Linked DNA regions of Astyanax mexicanus. The protein of the gene in region 1 interacts with the protein of each later gene in a pairwise test. Links are inferred from orthologs where the notes say so. Each region holds a gene or a part of one and is shown on either strand. Other genes may lie near its edges. The genes, in order: blmh and nudt12.

Region 1 (11,268 bases):
TATTTGGTGGGCCACTGCTAGCCCTGCCTGACAAAAGCCATAAGAAATATTGCAAATGTCTGTAAATATTTCTATTTGGTTGTTTCTTTGTCACTTCTTATTCAGTAGCCTACATTATTGAAAGTTTCTTTAAATAATTAAGATGGAAACAGATATTTACATATGAGTATGGCCACCTCCGTGGTTCTACACCCATCCACCCATCCCTGCCACTGTAGGCCTTCTGTTTCTTTGCATACTTTATTATCCCCCTTTCACCCAATGTTCGGGACCCCACAGGACCATCACAGAGCAGCTGTTATTAGGGTGGAAGGTCATTCTCAGGGTACAGTGTTCTATACCAACTTAATTTCTTTCTAAATGTTTTATATTAAATGGAGATGCTTTTAAACTTTCAAATGTATCTTCAACAGTTCACACACATTTAATTTGAAAAAATAAGCTTTTATAGAAACATATACAAAAGATTGGGTTCTTTTGTGGAATCTGCCTTGTCGCAGCTCTGTTTCCAAAGATTTTCCTCATTCAGTCATTTGATTTGAGTGAATTGTCTAGGTGAGGTTTAGTTTTGATTTTTTTTGTTTGTAGTCAAAAAAAAAAAAAAAACACCTCAGTTTTCACAGTAAACTTACTATAGATATTGACTGTGTAGAACACCCTGAAGGCAGGACCTGCAAAACCACTATACGTATAATCCTGTAAACAATGTTAACTCAATAAACCCTATTAACCTTTAAACCCAATAAAACAAAATTTTCATATTGGTTTGGGTAGTTATTAAATAATTCACAGTATTTATAGAATACATGTTATTTTGTAAATTTACAAGCAAATAATAGGCCTAGGGGTTTGAGGGGTCAGTGTTCTTTAATTCACCATGCAGTAAGTAGTCTGGTCAGTTATTGTAGCTGTGATGTCTGATGCCTTGGGCATTTTTCACAACTGCCCCCACCCTTTCTTAGAAAGGATTATGGAAATGGCTTCAGTGCAGCCTTTTCACAATAAAGCTATTTACTTGCCTCTCTCTGCAGCTAGGAAGACTACACTTCATGCATGTTGTACGATAACCTTTTTACTAATTAAAATGTATATGCCTTTTTTATTCTTTGTTTTAGTGTGAGCACCAAGTGTAAACACACCAGGGAACAACACGTCACTAAAGGTATTGTAAATTTTATTTTTTCCTTTGTATTTGTGGTAATTTAGCTTTTTCACTTTTTTTATTTTCCACCCCTTTCAATAAAAGTATATAAGATTCCGTATTATTCATTAAGAAAAATAAGAAAATAAGCTGTTGTTTCTCAAAAAGATGCTCTCAGCCAGTCACGGGGCTGTAACACACTGTAATACACTGAATGCATCTCCAATCCACTATTCCAGAGCTTGTTTCTCTGACCTAGCCCCGTTTCCCTGTAAAGCATGGTGCTCATCTGTTCATTTTGGACAGATGGCTGCGGGTAAAGCCTCCATTCCTGCAATATGCGTTTATGAGCTTTCACATAAACTGAGGCAGTCCCCCCTTCCATCATAGTCCTGAAAGGCTGAAGCTGGCGTGATATCTAGTCAGGGGTGACTTTCAATGCATAACCCCATCCCCCACACCTCACACATTGTTTGCGGAGGAGACCCCATCTGCCCCCTCCTCCAGGAGAGCACCACAACTATTGTTAAGCGCAGCCCACAAAGAGAACCGGAGGCACTGGCTGGATTAGGTAACATCTGGCACAAAAAAAATACCAGGTTTATTTATGAGCAACAACACGGCAGCATGCAGTTTAAGAGGGATTGGGGTATTTGATAATGTCCCCATCATAAACTGCCTTTGTTTTGAATAATTATCGGGTTGTTATCATAATACAAATAAAAGCCCGAAAACCACTGCGAGAATAATGGGAGCCTCCCCAGGAATCCTCATTTCTACCTCAACCACAACTGTTACTAGAAGACAGCCTAGGCGTCAAGTATTCATTTATTGCGCTACTTATTCAGTGCATTAACTGTAACTGTCAGTAATTGTAATGAAATTGTAATGCAGTGCCTGGAGACAGATATATACACACATATATAAATCACATAGTACATGGTATTTAATTGTGTGTGGCTTTTTTCAGTATTAAAGTAGAGTAAGAGTGGAGTTGTGTTTAAATTTTAATGTAGACCAGTGCATCTTAGGGCTCTCCTCTCCTCTCCTCTCCAAGCACAGGCAAATTGGAGTCTCCATCTTGAGGCTGAACAATGCCAGTAAAAAGAGAATCACAGCTGAGATCTGCTGCCTGTTCTCCTTTAGAGGGCACTCATCAGACTTTAAGTGCAGGACAAGCCCAGAATTAGAGGAAAGATAGGGGGAATCATTTCCTGTATCTGCTTAAGGTTTCAGCATGAGTGCAGCATCTCCACCTTATTAGCTATAGCAGTGTTTCTCAATCCTCTCCTGCCTCTACTACTCCTAAGATTATAGATTTTTTCTTAATTCCAGCACATCTGATCCATTTAATTAAAAACAGCAGGTGTGTTATTGCCTAAAAAAAAGAAAACACTCAAAAAACAATCAGGCCAATGGTATCCAGGATTGAAAACCACTGTCCTTCATTAGGGCCTAAAATACAAACAATGTGACCAAAGATTTTGGCAGCCACAATGACCTTGGTCAGAAAAAAGTGGATAAGATAAATAATTCATTAATAAAGAGTACTCAAACTATCATGTTCCTTAATTGGATTTTTTTTAAATGTATATATTTGACTGTTTGCCAAGACTATTTAAATGTAAACAAATTTTGTTGAGTTTGGGATTTTACCTGAGATTGTGAGTTTAATTTGCACATTCTTCATTTCCCTTTTTTTTAGCTAAAATATTACACATTCAGAAGACATTCAGTGACATATATTTACACAAAACCTCATTAATACAAAAATCTTTTATAACTATATATGTATCAGACAATTACTGTCATTATTCTTCATACAAATATTCCTTGACATTTTACTATCGCTTAGTGTGAGAAGAGAGTAATTCTTATTCATCTGATGTTACATACAAATTTCTGAATAGTGTTTTTCAACACAGTTAGCTAAGCCAACACCAGACTTGAATTGTCTGTCTGGAAAAATGAAAGCAAACTGAACATTTTTATGTTATAACGTAACTCAAATAATTAATTGTTGGCGGACAGTGACCTAGGTCACTTAGTCCCCATTATGGTAGAACCAGTGTGTTGAAAATCTTAGCTAGTCAATCTAGTCAAATTATCCTACCAAAGCACATATCTAAATATATATATTTTGTATTTTATTTTTCATTTTGTAAATGAAAAACTGTTCTGCCATGTTTAATTGTCCCACCACAGGCAACAATTACTGACAGTGGCAAGCAGCTGTAGGAAAAAATACTGCACATTTTTTGCTACTTTTGCTACTTAATCTAATTAAATTGACACAAATCCATTAACATAAGATTTTTTGGGAGGCTACATCATCTCTAATTTTTAATGTAGCTATAATGTTTAACTGGCATTTTGTAAAGTATACATATAGAACATTGTGTACTAAACAGTTCTTAGCCAAAACACAATACATCATTGGCTATGGTTAAATACATGTGTAAACAGTCCCTAGAATGAGACTGAAATGCACTGCTTTAACACTACTTCTAGACATTCTTTAACAGGCACCAAACCTTTGAAACCCTAAAGTCTGTGAAAAAAGGTTATATTACAATTGTGAGGGGGACCACTGCTCATCACATGACAATGCAACTTATATGAACTGGTTATGTACAATAATCCAGTTTCAAAATAAAAGAAAAATGCTAACATGCTATTAACCTTTTATTAGAATCAGGTAAGTTAAAGTAGGTCATTGTCTCTGTGCTGGAAAGGACTTACATTAACTTTCACTTCCAGCCGAGGGCAGTATAGGCGCAGTTTTAAATTTTATTCTGAGGTAGAAAGAGTGCTTGAAATGAGGTAAACAAATGTACTACTACTCTACTGATAATTTACTTGAGTACAAAATAAAAAAAATCTAGTCAAACAAATTAACTATTTTTTTGCGAGCAGTGGGGCCCTGTGTGGTCAACCTAGCCTCTTCAATCCTTATGTCCAATTCCTCCCTCTGCTGCAGGAGGCTCTCAAAATCGTCTTCTGTGATGACCTGGGCCTCAACATGGACTTTCTTGGTGTTTCTCTTTTTGTAATCGACCCGGGTCAAGATCTCTGCAAGGTCAGGCGGAATCAGTCCTGCTGTCACCAAGGGATGATCCAGATGAGCAGAGGTTTCTGAAGTGGGCGGTTGGGAGGATGCAGAGGGTGTCACTGGAGAGGAGAGTGATGGTGACTCCACGGTCTTCAAAATAAAAGTTTACACCCACATAAAACACTGCTGAAAAGTATCTTTTTAGTTTCAGCTTATTGTAATTGTAATAAAAGACTTTTGAATGTGAGATTTATAAATGTAAAATAATATAAAATATAAAGCTAATTCATACAGAGACAATAAAAAAGTGTGAGAAGAGTAGTGATGGCTGTTATTATATTTACACGTTTTATAGCTATTATTTTATTTACATTTTATTTTATTAAAATCTACGAAGCTAAAGCTGGATGCTAATGGTCATTTAACATTATTTTTAAAAATGTACTTATGTCAAATGTAATTAGATACTTTCCAATTTATCATTTTTTTAAATCAATAATTATTAACCAGAAAGAACTCATAATGATGTATGTGTGTGAATGTGTGATCATCTGACCTTATTTTTAAAGGTGTGCTGGGTTAGTGCTGGAGGTTCATTTTCAATGTGTATCTCTGTTCTATTCTTTTTCATCCATTTTAACAATTCAAATCCTTTAATGAAATGTTTTACATTCTATAGAATTAGTTCTGATAATTTCTAGAACAAAATCTTAAAATTAGTTATGAAATTGGCATTAATATTCGGAAATGGGTCTGGGCTCCTATGGGTTACTAAGTATTGTAATAAATGAATCAACCACTATCAGTTATGACTGGCACAAGAAACTGAAACTTGTTTTAAGACATCTCCCAAATGATTGGGTTATTGATAATTGAGTGCAAGATAATGCATTAGATTACAGTATTCTTGAAGCCAGGGCGGTCATTTTCATTGAACATGTATTTTGTGAAAAACTGTGTGAAGAGAATTAAGGAGAATGGCTTTCCGATCAGTTAAAATCAGAAGAGCTCACTTAATCTTTCAAACTATTGATTCCATTCCTTATTATGTCATAATTGTATCGGCAGGATAATATTTCTTAAATAATTAAGTAATTGAATAATATCACAGTTATAAATCTAGCCATTTATAGAGGTACAATTTGTCTACAAAGCCATTGGCCAAGCTGTAGTATCTAGTGTGTGCCAGGAGGTGGTGGAATTGTGCTTTTGTAGTATTGAGAGACCTAAATAACAAGATGGAATAAAAATATAGAGCTAGAGTGCAATGTTCAGTATGGAGAGCTTTTATGCTCATAAAACTGGTTGAAGTGATAAAATCTTTTCCTAGGAATTTGCAGGTAAACAATTGGATGACCGCTTCACCCTAATGTAGTTGACCAAAATATACAGGCCCTACTTAAAGAGGATATTGGGATCATGTTGTGAAGCATTCTTTTTACTTGCCTTGTGGGGATACTGTTTAATGACATGGTAATACTGACCGCAGTATAAACACAGTTTAACAATTTCCCACTCCTCCAGCTTACAATAGTGATTCTTCAGCAGTTTGCCTTGTTCAGACATGGCTGGGGTAATGAAGCAGTGCAGTCTTCTGTCACAAATTGAAGGAGGCAAGTGGATGTAATTGCAGACTTTCATAGAGGGAAAGGCCAAATTCCGGGTAGAGGTCATAAAACCAGATCAAAACAACAGAGCAGACTTCCAGATTGCATAGGCAGAAATAAAGAACTGAAATCTGACTCATGCAAAAAAAAACATGTTGAAAGACTAATTCTTACATACTAACAAATAAATGATGTCAGAAATGTTTAATTTGACTGTGTGGAAATTAATTAACCTTAGTTTAGCAGGTAATGTCAGAGTCTAAATTGAAAAAGCTACAGAAAAGAAATATGTTGTTTAATCTGTTTTTGCATAATCCAGATCTCTATAGTCATTACATTCAGTTTGTCTGTCATTTAGTAATGTGCATTTGGGAAGCTGTAGCAGAGCCAACATTACATTCATGATTTTATTTGTGATTGTTCACAGACAATTATTGTGATTCATAATAATGTTTAAAATAATTGACCTAGTAGTAGTAGTAGTAGTAGTAGTTCCTTTATTATGTCAGAACTGTAAGCCTGTGTTAACCCTTTTAGACCCTGCATCCATTGCAATGGCCAACACCTGTTTTCTTTTTTTTTTGTGTATTCTTGCATTAACCCAGCTTGCCTGTTGTCCAAAAGAATAGACAATTATCAGCCAATCAAGCAGCAGCTTAGCCCCGCCTACTGCATTGGACAAATGGAGTTATTTTTACTGCTTAAGAATGATTTGTGAAATAAAAAAGTTAAAATTAAATTATATAGAATAAAAATATCAATGTTAAACAAATTATTACAACTGCAATTAACACAGAAATACAAATAATGTATGTATTTTGGAGTGAATTAACGTTACAGACAGAACAACATTTTTTGTTTTGTTTTTTCAGCACTGGAATATAATTCAGGTCTAAAAAGATTAAACACTCAGGATATTTAAAAAATAAATGTATATGTTTTTAAAAATAAAACACTGTTTTAACACTGTGTTTTAAAGTTAAACACCGGGTGGGAGTTTCTCGCGACATGGCAACAGTGCGATTTCCGGAATTCCGAGCGCGCGGCGCTACGCTGACTGGCTGCGAATGAAATAAACAGAAGACAAAAGAAGAAGCGAGACTGCGGGACTGATTCAGAGACTGACACCGCCGAGCTCCAGCGCACAAACATGGAAACACCCGGTACGTTTGCTCTTTAAAGTGTTTTATAATAGTGTCTGCTGTGGAGCCTGTAGCCCAGTCTGTCTCTTTTCTCTGTACAGTCTGTAACAGGGCTGTTAGTTAGCCTAGCTTAGCAGAGCGGAGCTAGCCGGGCTGGAGCTGGAGCTTCACGTCAAACTGGAAGTGATAGCGTTAGCTAGCTTAGCTAGGTTAGCTATGGCAGCCTGAAGCTTGGCTTTAGTTAGTTTAACTAACTTGCCAAGCTGCCTGTTAGCTAATGCTCTCAGCTCACAGACAGCCAAGCTGTTTCCTCTTAGTGTTTGGCTGAAGGCTCCCATCTTCCAGTTCTTCTAATGTAACAGTAGCAGCCTCTGTAGCTCACAGCCCGTAGTTAGGTAGAAATCCAGAAAGTAAAAATCCAGCCCAGGATTTTGTTCCAACCGCATGAACGGTTGTGCTGCAGTCAAGGCGCCCATTAGTTTCAAACGAAATCCTGAAGTGGATTTTTTTCTTTTATGTATCCGGATTATACATATCTAGTAGTTAGCTAGCTATACCCATCAGGAGCTGAGCTGAAGTTCCTCCTGTACTATGTAGCTGGTGCTGTTCTGATTGTGTCTGTTGAATTGGGCCCTAACTCAGGACTTATGTAACCTAAAGCTCAACACCAAGGCAGGCAGTTGTTCGACACCATGGGCTCACAAACCTTCCTGCTGGGCTGCTGTTATTATGTAAATTTGCAAGTCACCCTATAGACTAGCCTTTGCCCCCTTTTTCATAGAAAGTCAATAGCGACAGCTAGTTAACAGTTACACCTGTTCTTGTCCCCTCTGTTCATGAATATAAAGAAGTAAGCTTGTTTTTGTCTTTTAGATCTCAGTCTAAAAAGCCTGTCTAACATGGCATGTGTTTACTCACCCTTTTATGTTGACCACGATTTTCCTCTTTCCTCTATGCTATTGTAATTTGTGAAGTGATGTTTTCACTTTTATTATTTTGTCATTTCCTGTTCATAAGCCTCACAAACAATTATAAGACCTGTCTTATAGCTAACTATTGATAGTTAGACAAAAAAACCAAAAAGGATCAATGAGGTGGCAGGTAGAAATGAATGAAAAATACGCTGAGATTTGAAAGATTTATCAGCCATTTGATCTTATAGATACATTTTTGAATAACTACATAGTTATTACTTATGATTTTTTTCCCTTATTGGGTCAATAAGTATTTTTGCTATGCCCTCCAATTGAAAGTTACATTTTAACATGGGATTTAAATACCCATGTGTCTTTTTAAATGTGAAAAGTACTGATATTTAGTGAGTAAATACAGTACCAGTCAAAAGTATGAACACACATTGTCATTCAATGTTTTTCTTTATTGCTACCTTTAATTTATTGTATATATTGTCAATAAATATTAAAGACATTAAAACAATTAAGGGACACATGGAATTACCGGGTATGTAGTAAACAAAAACTTGTTTTCCTCCACAATCGCCTGACCTAAACCCAATTGAGATGGTGATGTTGGATGTGCTGGAGCATCACAGCATGAAGAAAAGCAGCAACTATCTAAGATAATAATCTGGTTTGTTTTACACTTTTTGTTTACAAAATTATTCTGGATGTCTTCCTGTAAAATGACCTCAATATTAAACTTACAGTGCAAAAAAAAAAAAAAAGAAAGAAAACATTACCCAGGGAGCCAATTACCCCATTCAGTCCACAGTTCTTTGTAAAGTGTGATGCTGTAGCAAATAAACCAGTACTTAATCAAATTATATCAACTAATCAGATTGTAGAACTATCATGATAACCATTTTTTAAATAATTAACTGCTCCAGGACTATTTGTATTAAACAGTATTTTTGTATTTGAAATATATATTGAAATATTCTGACATTTAGAATTAGAATTAAAAAATTAAATATCCTAAATAATTCAAACAGAAAACAAGTAGATAATTTAATTATTGTAATGTGCCCAGTAGAGGTCATGGTCATGCTCACCATTTTCATCAGTAAGTATTTTTCATTTTTCAACAGTGCTCTGGTAGGAGAGCAAAAAACATTTAGGATATTTTACCCACTGAGTTGAAATTGCAGTCCAGTATTGCTGTCTACAGCAGAAGTTTAATTATGGCTAAAGAAACAGCATTGCTTTGCAATTTATTTATTTATATATATTTTTGGACATATGGGCAGATGGTGTAAATTAGTCTTTTACTATGGACACTATATACATCTGGTATTGAACATAATTGTAGGTAGCAGTTCCAAAGTTTATATATTTTTTCGTGTTATAATCAGGCACATTTTAATGTGTGCTGTCAGCGTTGGTATGTGACTGCTTATTCAATACACAATATCTGAGATGTTGTGTTCTTGCAGGTTGCAGATCTAATTTTACATTAAATTCTTTTCAGAAATTAAATATCTGATACGGTCATTGAACATATACGCATTTAATTAGTTTCCACCTATTATTGTTTTGTTGCAATTTTATTCCTCATTGATCCAGGAAGTTGGTTGCAAATAAAAAAAGTCTGTCCTGAAATGAAACTGAATAGTTTCCTCTTTCTGTTAAGCCCCAGGTCTGAATCAGGAGAAGCTGTCTTCTTTTGTGAAGCGGCTGCGGTCCGAGCCTCGGTACATGCTTGCGCAGAATGTGTCCACCTGCATCGACCCCCTAGAAGTGTGCCTCCACAGGCAGACAGTCCAGGACACAGTGCATATCTTCCAGCACTCCATCCCCACGGAGGGTAAACCTGTCACCAACCAGAAGAACTCAGGTAATTGCACTCAAACTGAAACCACCAAACAAACACAGTCTTAAAACCTGTGAGAACAGTTCTGAAAGATATATAAGATATGAGGTATCTGAATGTGGTATCAGGTGTTGCATCACATTCCATAACAAAACAATACACTGAGGAAAAAATAGAATTCTAGTGTAGTGAATGCCTTTCATTTTACATTACAATTTTGTAATGGCTCTGTTTTCAAAGTAAAGTTAACAGCAAGACATGGACCTACATTGTATTTTACTATATTTATCACACTGTGCTATAAATAGTATTATAGTGGCACTATACAGATTTACTGAAAAACAGTTCATCTGTATGTTGTAGATATTAACAGGAATTTCTATGCAATAAGGCATGTGTAGTATGATACCCTTGAAAGGTAGAGTTGCATAAAATATTTAGTTTAATTAGGTTTAACTGTACCTAATGATAATGTTTCTTTTTCTCTGTCAGGGAGGTGTTGGATCTTCTCGTGCCTCAATGTCATGCGACTTCCTTTTATGAAGAAGTTTAACATTGAAGAGTTTGAGTTCAGTCAGTCCTATCTCTTTTTCTGGGATAAGGTAAGGCTGTGGTTGCGTACTAAACACGTCATAATTAAGAATTAATTTTTGCTTTTTTTATTTACCTCTGCGTATTCACATAAACATATAGGTTAAACTGGACAGAGAATGAGTACTCTGTTCATTGATTGTTCTCTGTCATTGTGCATCTCAGACTGTGTGTGTAAATCCTCTTTTGTGTCAGATGTATTGCTGAATGTTTGTCTCTCAATTGTATGGCAGTGTTTTCTCTTAGTTCCTTTGTTCTCACTCTCTCTTTCTATTTTTTAGGTGGAACGCTGCTATTACTTCTTACATGCCTGTGTGGAGACGGCCCAGAGGAAAGAGCCCGTTGATGGCCGGTTGGGCCAGTTTCTGCTCTCAAATCCCACCAATGATGGTGGACAGTGGGATATGCTGGTTAACCTCATTGGTCAGTCTACGCTGTATATGTCAAAGCTGGTTCTGTGATGTATTTAATTGTAGGTATGGGATAATTGGTAGAGCTATGTTCTGAAACAAAAATGTCCAAAAACCCTTTAACAACAGTATCAGTCATATTTGCTTATTTGGGTTTTGTTTCATTTTTGAGGACAATTTTAAAAGCATAATTGTAAACAATTGCGAGGTTTAAAAGCATAATTATCTGATCTGATAATGTATTTTTTTTAGGACTCTTCTCAAAAAGTAAAAAAACAAAACAATTAAAAACAATGTAGAATGTTATTGGTGTATGAGTGCCTATGTTACCTTGGGTAAAACAGTAGCCTATTTAAAACAGACCTTGTACTTCCTTTGGAGTTTTTTATACGGAAGTCTAAACTTCCCTGTCTGAAACCACTTGCTCATATGACCTCTAGTTCATTCATAGGTCCTTTTCTAACTACTTTTGTTTGCTGCATGTTAAACAGAATTACATTGTCTGTCTCTACCTATTAAAGGAAGAATTTAAGGGGATTAAAATTCTACCTTCTCC
Region 2 (11,503 bases), on another chromosome or scaffold:
AAATACAGTTGTTACTTTATTTCAGTAATTCAGTTCAAAATGTGAAATTCCTATATTATATAGATGTATTACACACAGAGTGGTTAATTTTAGCGTTTCTTTTTATTATATTATTAATTGTTGATAATTATGGCTTACAGCCAATTAAAACCCAAAAATCAGCATCTTGGACAATTTGAATATTATATAAGACCAATTGGTACTTTCTGCAGTGTGGGCAGTATGCCAAGTCCTGCTGGAAAATTAAATCTGCATCTACATAAATGTTTTTAGGAGAGGGAAGCATGTAGTGCTGTAAGATTTTTTGACTTGACTTTTGACTTGATAATAACACATTGGACCAACACAATGTTGAGATGCACTAGTATACTGACAACCTCAATATATTTTGTTGACCTCAATACTGCAATTAATATTATTTGTCTTGAGAGCCTTTTAACAAAAAATGCCTTTTGGTTGACAATATGATCAAAATATTGTACCATGACATTTAAAGACATTATCAAGAAAGGATGCAAAAAGTTATCCATGATATGTTCAGAAAAGTATATTGTATTTTATGGTCAAATGTATACGACACAAGGAAATATCGTCTAATTACCAATTTAATCCAATATCTGAATATTCTTAACAATTTAATTGCTGTTTTAAAAGGTGAAATTACTTTATTATGCAATTATATCATCACAACAGCAGCAGCATAAAATGGTCTTAAAATGACAATAAAATAGTTTATCACAATTGTTCCTTTGATAATAGATCATCAAAAAAGTTACTGTGAAAAGTCTGCGTGTAGCTTTTTTTTAAACTCACCCCTCTGATAGTAAAGCTTTCACCACATCATAGTGTCCATTTCTTGCAGCTAACATTAAAGCTGTCCAGCCTTGTTTTCCACTTTCATTAAGCAGATGTCTGGAGTGAGAAATCAAAAAAGACACTTTGCCTAAATCACCACTGGATGCATGTTCCAGGAACTGCTGGACCATCTCATCCAGAGCACTCATCTGTACACTCGTCATGATCTGAGCTACAACAAAAGAAGAAAAAAAGAAAGACTAGTTAATAGTAATAGGTGTTATTCAGGATTAGAAAAATGTTTCTTAAGATCACATTTCTTTTAAGGACCCAAGTTTTTAACCTGACCAATAGACAAATACATTTTGACAATGAGGCATATACATCTAGTTCCAAACAAAACAAAATCTGATTATTAACAGAGTTAAGTAAAAACTCCCATGTTCTGCTACAATTGGATTATGTAGTGCGCATAAACCCACTCCAAGAACAATATGATACAATGACTAAATGCATGTTCTCCTTTAACCTGTTTAACTACACAGAAGGTCAATGTTATGATTTACACAACATTAGTGTAGTAATGTGGTTTGTCCCCTCCTCTCTCTTACAGATCTACTGCCAACTTTTCACACTTATTATTATTATGCACAGCACACAAAACATGCTGTTTTATAATTGCAACGCCATGTATTTAATGTTGCTTTTTCATGTGAGCTCCCAAAGATGCATCAACAAGGTCAAGATCATTAGGCTGTGTAATTTAATCTACAGAATATCTAGTGACACAAAGTCCCAGCTGCCATATCCAGACAGTGACTTGTATTTGGCACTGTGTTCATATGCATGCATCACATTTGTAGCTTTATTTGTAGCTTTATATGATACTTTTGGAATTACATAACTATAGCTGTGTTAGTCTAGATGTTATTGCTATAGCTGCTATTCTAAGAAGCTGTGTACAACATCACTGAGGGGGAGTAATTAGAGGATACAGATTGTTAGAGGGTACAGTTTTCATTTTTCCATTCCTTAAAGTGCAGTTGTTAACTTCACACAGGCCATCAACTGAAAAAAGAAAATGTTACTATTTTAAGATGAGTGTATCTTGATTTGTCAACACTTTTACCCCACTGTAGGCCTGTCACAGTAATTACATTATCAACTTACTGTACAGTACATAGAAATATCCACAATCACCTGACCTCTCGATATTGTTTGTTGTTTTTACTAAGCAACATTCTAATTTAGATTATTCTATTTCTGTAGAATATTAAACCCAAAAGAACCCTTCAAAACTGTGCAAAGTTCCACAGTTTTAACTCATGAAGTTCCTAAGTTACATATTCTGAGAATGCTGAGAGCATCACTACAGGATAATGTGTGAATGTAGGACTGCTGGGTTAGTGCTGCAGACAATGGTTCAATATAACTATTTCTTGATAGATGATTTGTAAGAGTATGATAATAAAATACCAGTTATAAAATTGTTGTTTGGTTACCTTACAATTTAAATCTTAAAATATTTACAGTCATGTGCCCCACAAAAACATGAAAGAGCTGTTCCTTGTATTTATCTGATTTAATTTTGAATTTGGTATAAATATTCAGAAATGGCTCTTATATGTTAAATAACATAAACTTCAATGAATGTATACTCAGTATAACATAAGGGTACTGCTTTAAAAAGGTTATGTTTAAATTAATGTATATTATTAAACTGTTCTATTCTTATTATATCAATGACATAAAATTGTTCTAAAATGTTTCTGTGTCACCAAATGTTTCCATGCCATGAGCTGTCTGACCTTTTTAATTTATATAATTTATTAATATTATTAGTGTCTTCGGTTCCTTGAAAGTAAAACAGTGAGAAGGTTGTGATGTGACTGTGAGGTAAAGCTCCTATACACAGCTTGATATTTTGATATGAAAATAGCTTATAAATATTAATGATTATTTAAAAAAAACATAATGAAAACATACTTAAAAATATATATATAAATTATATAACTACTTTAAACCAAAAATTAGTCAAATTAACCAGGCAGCACTGTGGAAAACAGTGAAAAAAAAGTATTCCAGGTGACTCTACCTCATGAAGACACTGAGATTAAAATACCAAGAGTGTGCAGATCTGTCATCAAAGAAAAATGTTGCTACTTAGAAGAATCTAAAGTATATAACATACTGATTTGTTTAACACTTTTTTTGTTGTGTTCCTATATAGCTTTAATATAGTGTTCAATATTAAATTCATTGTCCATGTGTCCAAATTTTGACTGGTACTGTGTATTGAAATAATGTCTTAAAATCTTAATGTCTTAGTAAATATAGGTAAACATATTGTTACACAGTGTTTGTATGAAATTTAAACAACTATGCTGTGTGGACACAAAAGGAATGTTATACTAAGATTGACTTACATTTATATGACTGCTGTAATTACACCATTAAAAAGTAACGAGGCTGAAGTTAGTGTCTTATTCGGATTTTCCGGTCCACCTTAAAAAGTACCAATTATTCGCCAGTAGAGAGCAGGGTTGAGCCGAGCAAAACGAGTTTGGCATTTAGGGCATATTACACTGAGAAAACATTGCCTGTTCTGGGTATTTCCAGTTGCCCGAACTCCAGATTATCAAATAGTCTGTTGAATTTGACACCACATTATGAAAATATAACTAGTATACTGTGAATAGCCTAAAGAACTTAACATTTAATGTACAGTTTTTTTTTTATTATGAGCCTCTGAACTTGGCATTTGAGAAGATTAAAGGAGAATAAATTGCCTGTTCTGCATATTTCTAGATGCCCTAAATCCACATATTCAAATAGTCTGTTAAATTTGACACAAATTATGAAAATTTACATATTAAACTGTGAAAATCTTTAATAACTACAAAGATTACTGTACAGTTTATTATTATGACCCTCTGAACTTGGCATTTCAGAATATGTCAGTAGAATAAATTGCCTGTTCTGCATATTTCCAGTTACCCTAAATCCAGATTCTCAAATAGTCTGTTGAATCAGACACCACATTATGAAAATATAACTAGTATACTGTGAATAGCCTAAATAACTAGAAATATTACTGTACAGTTTTTTTTATTATGACCCTCTGAACTTGGCATTTGAGAAGATTAAAGGAGAACAAATTGCCTGTTCTGCATATTTCCAGATGCCCTAAATCCAGATTCTCAAATAGTCTGTTAAATTTGACACAAAATTATGAAACTATACCTATTAAACTGTGAACAGCCTTTATAACGAAAAATAAAAAAAACTGTACAGTTTTCTTATAATGAGCCTCTGAACTTGGCATTTGAGAAGATGTCAGGAGAATAAATTGCCTGTTCTGCATATTTCCAGTTACCCTAATTCCAGATTGTCAAATAGTCTGTTAAATTTGACACAAAATCATGAAAACATACCTATTACACTGTGATGAGCCCAAAGAGCTAAAAATATTACTGTACAGTTTTTTTTATTATGACCCTGTGAACTTGGCATTTGAGAAGATTAAAGAAGAATAAATTGCCTGTTCTGCATATTTCCAGATGCCCTAAATCCAGATTCTCAAATAGTCTGTTGAATCAGACACCACATTATGAAAATATACCTATTCTCCTGACATCTTCTCAAATGCCAAGTTCAGAGGCTCATTATAAAAAAAACTGTACAGTATTTATTTTTTGTTATAAAGGCTGTTCACAGTTTAATAGGTATAGTTTCATAATTTTGTGTAAAATTCAACAGACTATTTGAGAATCTGGATTTAGGGCATCTGGAAATATGCAGAACAGGCAATTTATTCTCCTTTAATCTTCTCAAATGCCAAGTTCAGAGGGTCATAATAAAAAACTGTACAGTAATATTTCTAGTTATTTAGGCTATTCACAGTATACTAGTTATATTTTCATAATGTGGTGTCAAATTCAACAGATTATTTGATAATCTGGAGTTCGGGCAACTGGAAATAACCAGAACAGGCAATGTATTCTCAGTGTAATATGCCCTAAATGCCAAACTCGTTTTGCTCGGCTCAACCCTGCTCTCTACTGGCGAATAATTGGTACTTCGACTTTTTAAGGTGGACCGGAAAATCCGAATAAGACACTGGCGAATAAGACGCCAACTTCGGCCTCGTAAAAAGCATAAACCCTGCTATGATTTCTGATAAATAAAATACATACACGTGGTAATATAAGGGACCTTAATTGGAAGAACCTAAGGGTACCACTTTACTGTTACTTCATACCAATATTCTGCCCTTATTGTGCACTGGGGAGCTAACCTGACCTCTGGACTAGTAGGACAGACTTGATCACAGTTTAGACAGTCAGACAGAGAGACAGACAGATAACACTAGCTAACTAGCTGAGGTGAAGTGTATTTTAACCAGTACTATTTTAGTGTAATAAATACTCTGAATGAATTAGATACAGGTAAAATGCTTATTTAAACCTTCAAACCTGATTCCACGGGCTGGTAGTCTGATTTGAGGAGGACCCACCTGTGTCACACGTGACTAAGTAGGGCAGAAGTAGGGTAGAAGTGCAGAAAGGCTACAACGCGTTCAAATAAGACGGCCGCGTCCCAATAGTTTTTCTGCTAAAGAAGGCCATAAGCTGCAAACCAGGCAAAGCCAAGGCAGCAGGTAGTTCAGGAGACTCTATATGAGAAGCTGAACACAGCCCAGGTCTGGCGTCGTAAACATATGGCGTAACGAGGTCACGTGATCCTCCAGCAGGACGGGTGTGCATCCGGGTCTTTAGTAGAAGAGCGAACTCTAGTGGTGAGACCCAGATAGATAGATAGATAGATAGATAGATACTTTATTTATCCCGAAGGAAATTTAGGCATCCAGCAGCAACAACACAATACAATAAGAAACATACTCAGACAAATCAAAACACAGAAGAATAGAAAATATATAAGGCTATATAAAAAAAAAACTAACTATACAAGGTAAGGATCTATCTGTAAACGGAGCAGTGCAGTAGATGTTGCTAATGGTCATAAATAATTAAATAATTAACAGAGTAAAGTGCAATGACATCGATTACGAAAGTGACTGATGTGACATAGAAATATAATATAATATAAGTATGCATACGTTACAAGACAGTTCTAAAAAGAGAATGTGAAAATGTGAATACCCAATCATGAGTAAGGTATACTTAAATGTAAGCGAGGTTGGGGAAGTGTTAATATAAATAATTAAGTTGTTGAATAATGTCCAAGTGGTGTGCCTGGATTAAACTCAGTCGTCAGCAGCATCCCGTCCCCAATGGGAGGAGTTAAAGAGTCTGATGGCTCTCGGAAGGAAGGATTTTCTGAGTCTGTCTGTTGTGCAGCTCTGTGACAGCAGTCTGCCACTGAACACACTCCTCTGCTTCATGATGGTGGTGTGAAGTGGGTGACTATCATTGTTCATGATAGAAAGCAGTTTATCCAAAGTCCTTCTCTCAGCTATTATAACCAGAGAGTCCAGCTCCATTCCAACCACTGCCCCGGCCCTCCTGACCAGCTTGTCCAGCCGTGATGCATCTCTCCTCTTCATGTTGCCTCCCCAGCACACCACAGCGTAGAAGAGAATGCTGGCCACGATTGATTGGTAGAACATTTGCAGAAGCTCCTTACAGATGTTAAAGGACCGCAGCATCCTCAAGAAATAGAGCCGGCTCTGTCCCTTCCTGTACAGGGTGTCTGTATCTGTTGACCAATCCAGTTTGTTGTCCAGCTGCAGACCAAGGTACTTGTAGGTCTTTACTGTCTCCACATCAACCCCCTCGATGGAGACTGGCTGCAAGGGTAGTCCAGACCTACGGAAGTCCACCACCATCTCCTTGGTCTTGGATATGTTCAACTGCAGTTGGTTCAGTCGGCACCAAGCAACAAAGTCATCCACCTGTCTCTTGTACTCCTCCTCCTGACCACCCTTCACACACTACCAACGAAGGCAGTGTCATCCGAGAATTTCTGCAGGTGGCACATCTCAGAGTTGTAATGGAAGTCTGATGTTTAGAGAGTGAAGAGGAAGGGGGAGAGCACAGTCCCCTGTGGTGCTCCAGTGCTACTGACCACAGTCTCCGATGTGCCGTCAGTGAGCCTCACGTACTGTGGTCTGCAGGTGAGGTAGTCTGTGATCCAGGACACCAGGTGAGGATCCACATTCATCTTCACCAGCTTGTCTCTGAGAAGTGGAGGCTGGATGGTGTTAAAAGCACTGGAGAAATCAAAAAACATGATTCTCACAGCACTACTCCCCTTGTCAAGATGAGAGTAGGTTCGGTGGAGAAGGTAGATGACTGCATCCTCAACACCAATCTTCTCCCGATATGCAAACTGGAGAGGGTCCAGTGCATGCTGTACCTGGGGTCTGAGGAGTGGGAGATGCAGTCGTTCCATGGTCTTCATAATGTGCGAGGTCAAAGCTACCGGCCTGAAGTCATTGAGCTCACTGGGGCGAGGTTTCTTGGGAACAGGGACCAGGCATGACGTTTTCCACAGCGTAGGAACCCTCCCCAACTGCAGGACAAGCAGAATCTCATAATAATAAAATAATCTTTTTTTATACAGCTCTTAAAAAAATTGAGACCACTTTATTTTCCGAATCAGTTTCTCTGATTTTGCTTTTTATAGTATGTTTGAGTAAAATTAACAACAATTATCAATAATTAACAATAATTATATATATTTTTGGATTTTGCAGTAAACAATGTTATTTTCATTTAAATATCATTTTACGAGATGTACAATATGATTAATATAAAAGCACAACAATGCAATTACACATGACTTTAAAAGTAATGAGTTTTTAAGTATCACAATTATTTAGACATTGCAAATAAAACATTAAAAAGTTGTAATATCCTAAATAATAATAAAAAAAAAACAAAAAAGAAATCTTGCCTAATAAATGACATTGAATCAACATTCATATAAAGGTTTATATTGGGCTGAGCTCTTGTACACTCACAATGCTTTAAGAAAACTGTGCACAACCCCCAAATAATAATATTAATATTAGAAATCAGCAATTGGATTTTGTATCTAAAAAAATTATCTTTAAACACTGCATGCATACATAAAACCATGATGTTAAATTCTTTATAACTCAATTTTTCAGCATGAAAGTATTTTTAAAACAATGACAATGAAAAATAATGAATATTAAATAAATAAAATAAATACAATAAAAATAATGTATATTCCTTCTCCCTACAAAATGATCCATTTGGGTTTATGTTGGATGCCATAGCTAAATATTTGCATTTAAAAAGTGTAATCATATAAACCTACTGACTATTAAAGTACTGTGTATATTAGAGACACAAGATATTTTTTTTTCTAATCAGGGACATTAAATATAGCTATTTATTGCTTAATTTGAGACTCAACTCATTGAAGAACCTTTAGTCACAGTAGATTTTTTAGATTTTCAAATCACAAGGAGTCAGCTAATCACTTATTAACTGGCTCAGAGGGTCAGAGACCTCCTCATCAGCTGAAACCCAAAAACACAGATGGGTCTTTTATCAGGGAGTCATTTCAGTGTTTGATGGAGAAACCGTCCTCCTGTGATGAGTCTGTTCACAAAAACAGAAATGATGCAGCCCGACCAACGTGTTCTGTCCCACCTAGTCAACAAACTCTGCTTGAGTCCCAGTGGTGAGTCTAAATATACTTTTTTACATTCTTGATTTTTTTTCTGAATGTGGTGTAATGCAAGATTATACAGCTCCATAAGGTAAAACTTTAGTGCAGCATTACAGAATGAATGGTACCATGTGGATAAATATTATTTGGATGTTTTTCTGTAGAACATAAGCTATCTAATCTTGCACGTGCTGCAAAAAGAGAACAGGCTGAACAGTCTCCACTGTTCTGTTTACTTTATAAAGCACAGGGGGGGACTTTGTCTCGTGTCTGTCTGTTGCCAAACTCAAACAGACTCAAAAGGACAGTATTAATCTTTAAAAAAAAAACAATTCTGTTTGCACATTCTACCCTGTAACTAAATGACCAGCTTTATAGCTAAAGATTTTTATTGTCTTTCAGTGCTTTAGAATGCTAGAATATACAGCCTGTAATATTTTATTATGAGTAGTGTAAAACTACAAATATATGCAGTAATATCCCAGCAAACACAGTTACATTGTGACAATTGGGGAAATAGTTTTGGTGCCCACAGCATTGTCACAATTTTTAAATAGACTATGTTCTAAAATATTTGCATATGTCTAGTTGGATGATAATATGACAAGGATTATTGACAGTTGTCAAAAGGCGGCATTAGTAGACATTGTTGTGCAACATTGTGTATCTGCTGGGATGCAGCACACTATTAAATAAACACATAAAGTGGTCACAGTGTTGTCTATTTTTTTAAAACTTTGCTACAATGTTGTCCAAAGGTTGCATTGTTTACATCATCTTAACAATGTTGACCCAACATCATCACAAACTCAAAATTAAGCCTTTTGACCACTTCCTAAAAAGAGAAATCCAGAAGAAAAATAGAATGGCCAGGTGAAGCTGGTCAGGCTGGTTATGATATCCAGCATAGGGTGTGCTGGGTGCTAAATGTAAAAATCAAAAAATAGAATTTCATTATTTAATTTCTTTTAATTATGATTTATTTACCTGAAGTTTTTCTTTTCTGAACCTCATGATCTAAATTTCAGGAAAATGAAAAGAAAATATTTAGTCAATTATCTAATTTTCCATTATAGCATCTTTTTACAAATATGAGTTGTATTATACCATCAGATTTGAGGAGAAAATAAAAAAAAATAGCAAAGAAATGTATTATCTATTTTTTGTTAAGTCCAGATTGTAAAAATTCAGTCAGATAAATGTTACATTGACACTTGAGCCAGCATAACCATATTGCCAGAATCAAATGCAACAATACAGCTAGTTTATCAGTATAGGGTATGTTTTTGACTGGCTTAACAGCTTTTCGACCTCCCTGACCATCAAAGACCAGCTTAAACCATTAAAACAGTCTTGGGTTGGATTTTTCAACAGGGAATGAGGCTATATAAACAAATCCAAAGGTTGCACTGTTGTTTAACCAACAGTGCTGTAACAACGTTGCCATAACCTTATCCTCAGGTAACTTGGTCATAAGGTCAAAATACTACAACTTTTCAAAATTCCCATGATCCAAGATTCATTATCTGACAATAAAGCTCATCATATATTTTAAAATGCATGCAAAAAAATATTACGAATTGAAATCTAAAAAGTTTTACCTCAAAATTTTACAACATCAGGTTTGTTTGTGTTTAGTGCCTAACCTGGTAGACTCTGTATGTAAGCTTACACTGCAGTTCTTTACAGTTTCATAAGCCCTACAATTTAACCCCGTGGAACTCCATTAGTAATTAGTAATAAAAGCAAAATAATTAGCCTATGGTTTAAGGGGGTAGCATGTGGACAAGTGGAGTCCACTACATTCTCTCAGACTCCTGTTATTTCCCTCAGTCTCAAGATTTCCGACATATCTCAGTAGTAGGGGTGGATGATATGGCCCTTAAATAATATCACAACATTTCATGATATTTTTGCGATATCGATACTCTTGGCGATATGACAAAATTAAAATATATATTTCAAGAATACAATACTGCAACAAAATGAAAATTACATTTTATTATTGCATACATATGAATTACATTCATTTATTACATTCATATGATTTGTAACAGAATTCAATGATCCAGAATGTTAAGATACTAATAACGCACTTCAAATATCTTCATATATACAGGATTAAAGTAAAATAAATGATACTGGACAGATATAATCTATCCAGACATATAATGGCAAATGAGAACAGAGTGAATTTTTATGCTTTTATGCTTTTTGCTAAAATCAGCAAAAAAGTAGTACCCTGATGTGATAATTAGGGGTGGGTGATATGGCACAATATTTCAGGGTATACTACCGTTCACGATATAAAAAATGTTGGCGATATTATTGCGTATGATATGATATGGCACACAGTAAACGGTAAAAAAAACAAACCAAAAAAACAGTATTCAATAATTTGCAGATTGCAAAGTGAGTAATGCCCACACAGTAGCGCCAGTAAGTGGTATTAAAACCTTTTTGTTTGAGAACCACTGTTTTAGAACATTTGTTGGATTTTAAACGTTGGGACAACGTTGCTGCTATTTAAAACAACAACAGCTGGTTGTCAGAACGATGCCAGTGCTGACCGTGTGCGCTGGGGCGCGCGGTCGAGTTCAGTAGTAACTCGATACTCAGTGTAATAAATGCGTGACGTACCTGTGGCACATTCACCGCGAGCGCAGCTCTCAGGATGTTAAACACAGACTAACGGACTAACAGCCCGCAGTTAAAGAGCTAATGGATATTAAACCGGGGAATATTACCGCGCGCGGCGGCAAGTAGAAGTTTCAGCAGCTTCATGTAAGATATGTATCGCCTCTCAGCAGCAGCAGCAGGACAAGGACTTTTATCAGACTGAGTGCTCTGTTTCTGTAAAGGTAACTACTGTTACTGTAGCACTGCTGAATACACATGATCTCTGACAGTTCAGAGTCTAATATCTTTATCTGTCCATGTTTTAACTTTTATATTAATACTGCAGGCTCATTATCAGAATACTGTGCTTATTTGCCCTCAAGCCTTTCAAAAAAATGACTTAATATTTCCTATATGTATATGA

What was found.
Region 2: the proteins of blmh (region 1) and nudt12 interact in binary tests that used the Homo sapiens proteins (3 or more experiments, as listed by UniProt). The two-hybrid records come from large-scale screens. The link is inferred for Astyanax mexicanus from reciprocal best matches to the Homo sapiens genes BLMH and NUDT12.

The regions. Positions count from the first base shown.
Region 1 is NC_064425.1:19,208,592-19,219,859, forward strand, and holds the start of blmh (bleomycin hydrolase), read left to right. Parts: upstream 1-6,815; 5' UTR 6,816-6,950; coding exon 6,951-6,963; intron 6,964-9,531; coding exon 9,532-9,735; intron 9,736-10,203; coding exon 10,204-10,313; intron 10,314-10,583; coding exon 10,584-10,725; intron 10,726-11,268. UniProt on the Homo sapiens protein: The normal physiological role of BLM hydrolase is unknown, but it catalyzes the inactivation of the antitumor drug BLM (a glycopeptide) by hydrolyzing the carboxamide bond of its B-aminoalaninamide moiety thus protecting normal and malignant cells from BLM toxicity.
Region 2 is NC_064419.1:36,551,553-36,563,055, forward strand, and holds the start of nudt12 (peroxisomal NADH pyrophosphatase NUDT12), read right to left. Parts: upstream 5,515-11,503; 5' UTR 5,263-5,514; intron 1,028-5,262; 5' UTR 1,020-1,027; coding exon 814-1,019; intron 1-813. Other genes in the region: GRAM domain-containing protein 2B, read left to right, coding at 8,363-8,472. UniProt on the Homo sapiens protein: mRNA decapping enzyme that specifically removes the nicotinamide adenine dinucleotide (NAD) cap from a subset of mRNAs by hydrolyzing the diphosphate linkage to produce nicotinamide mononucleotide (NMN) and 5' monophosphate mRNA.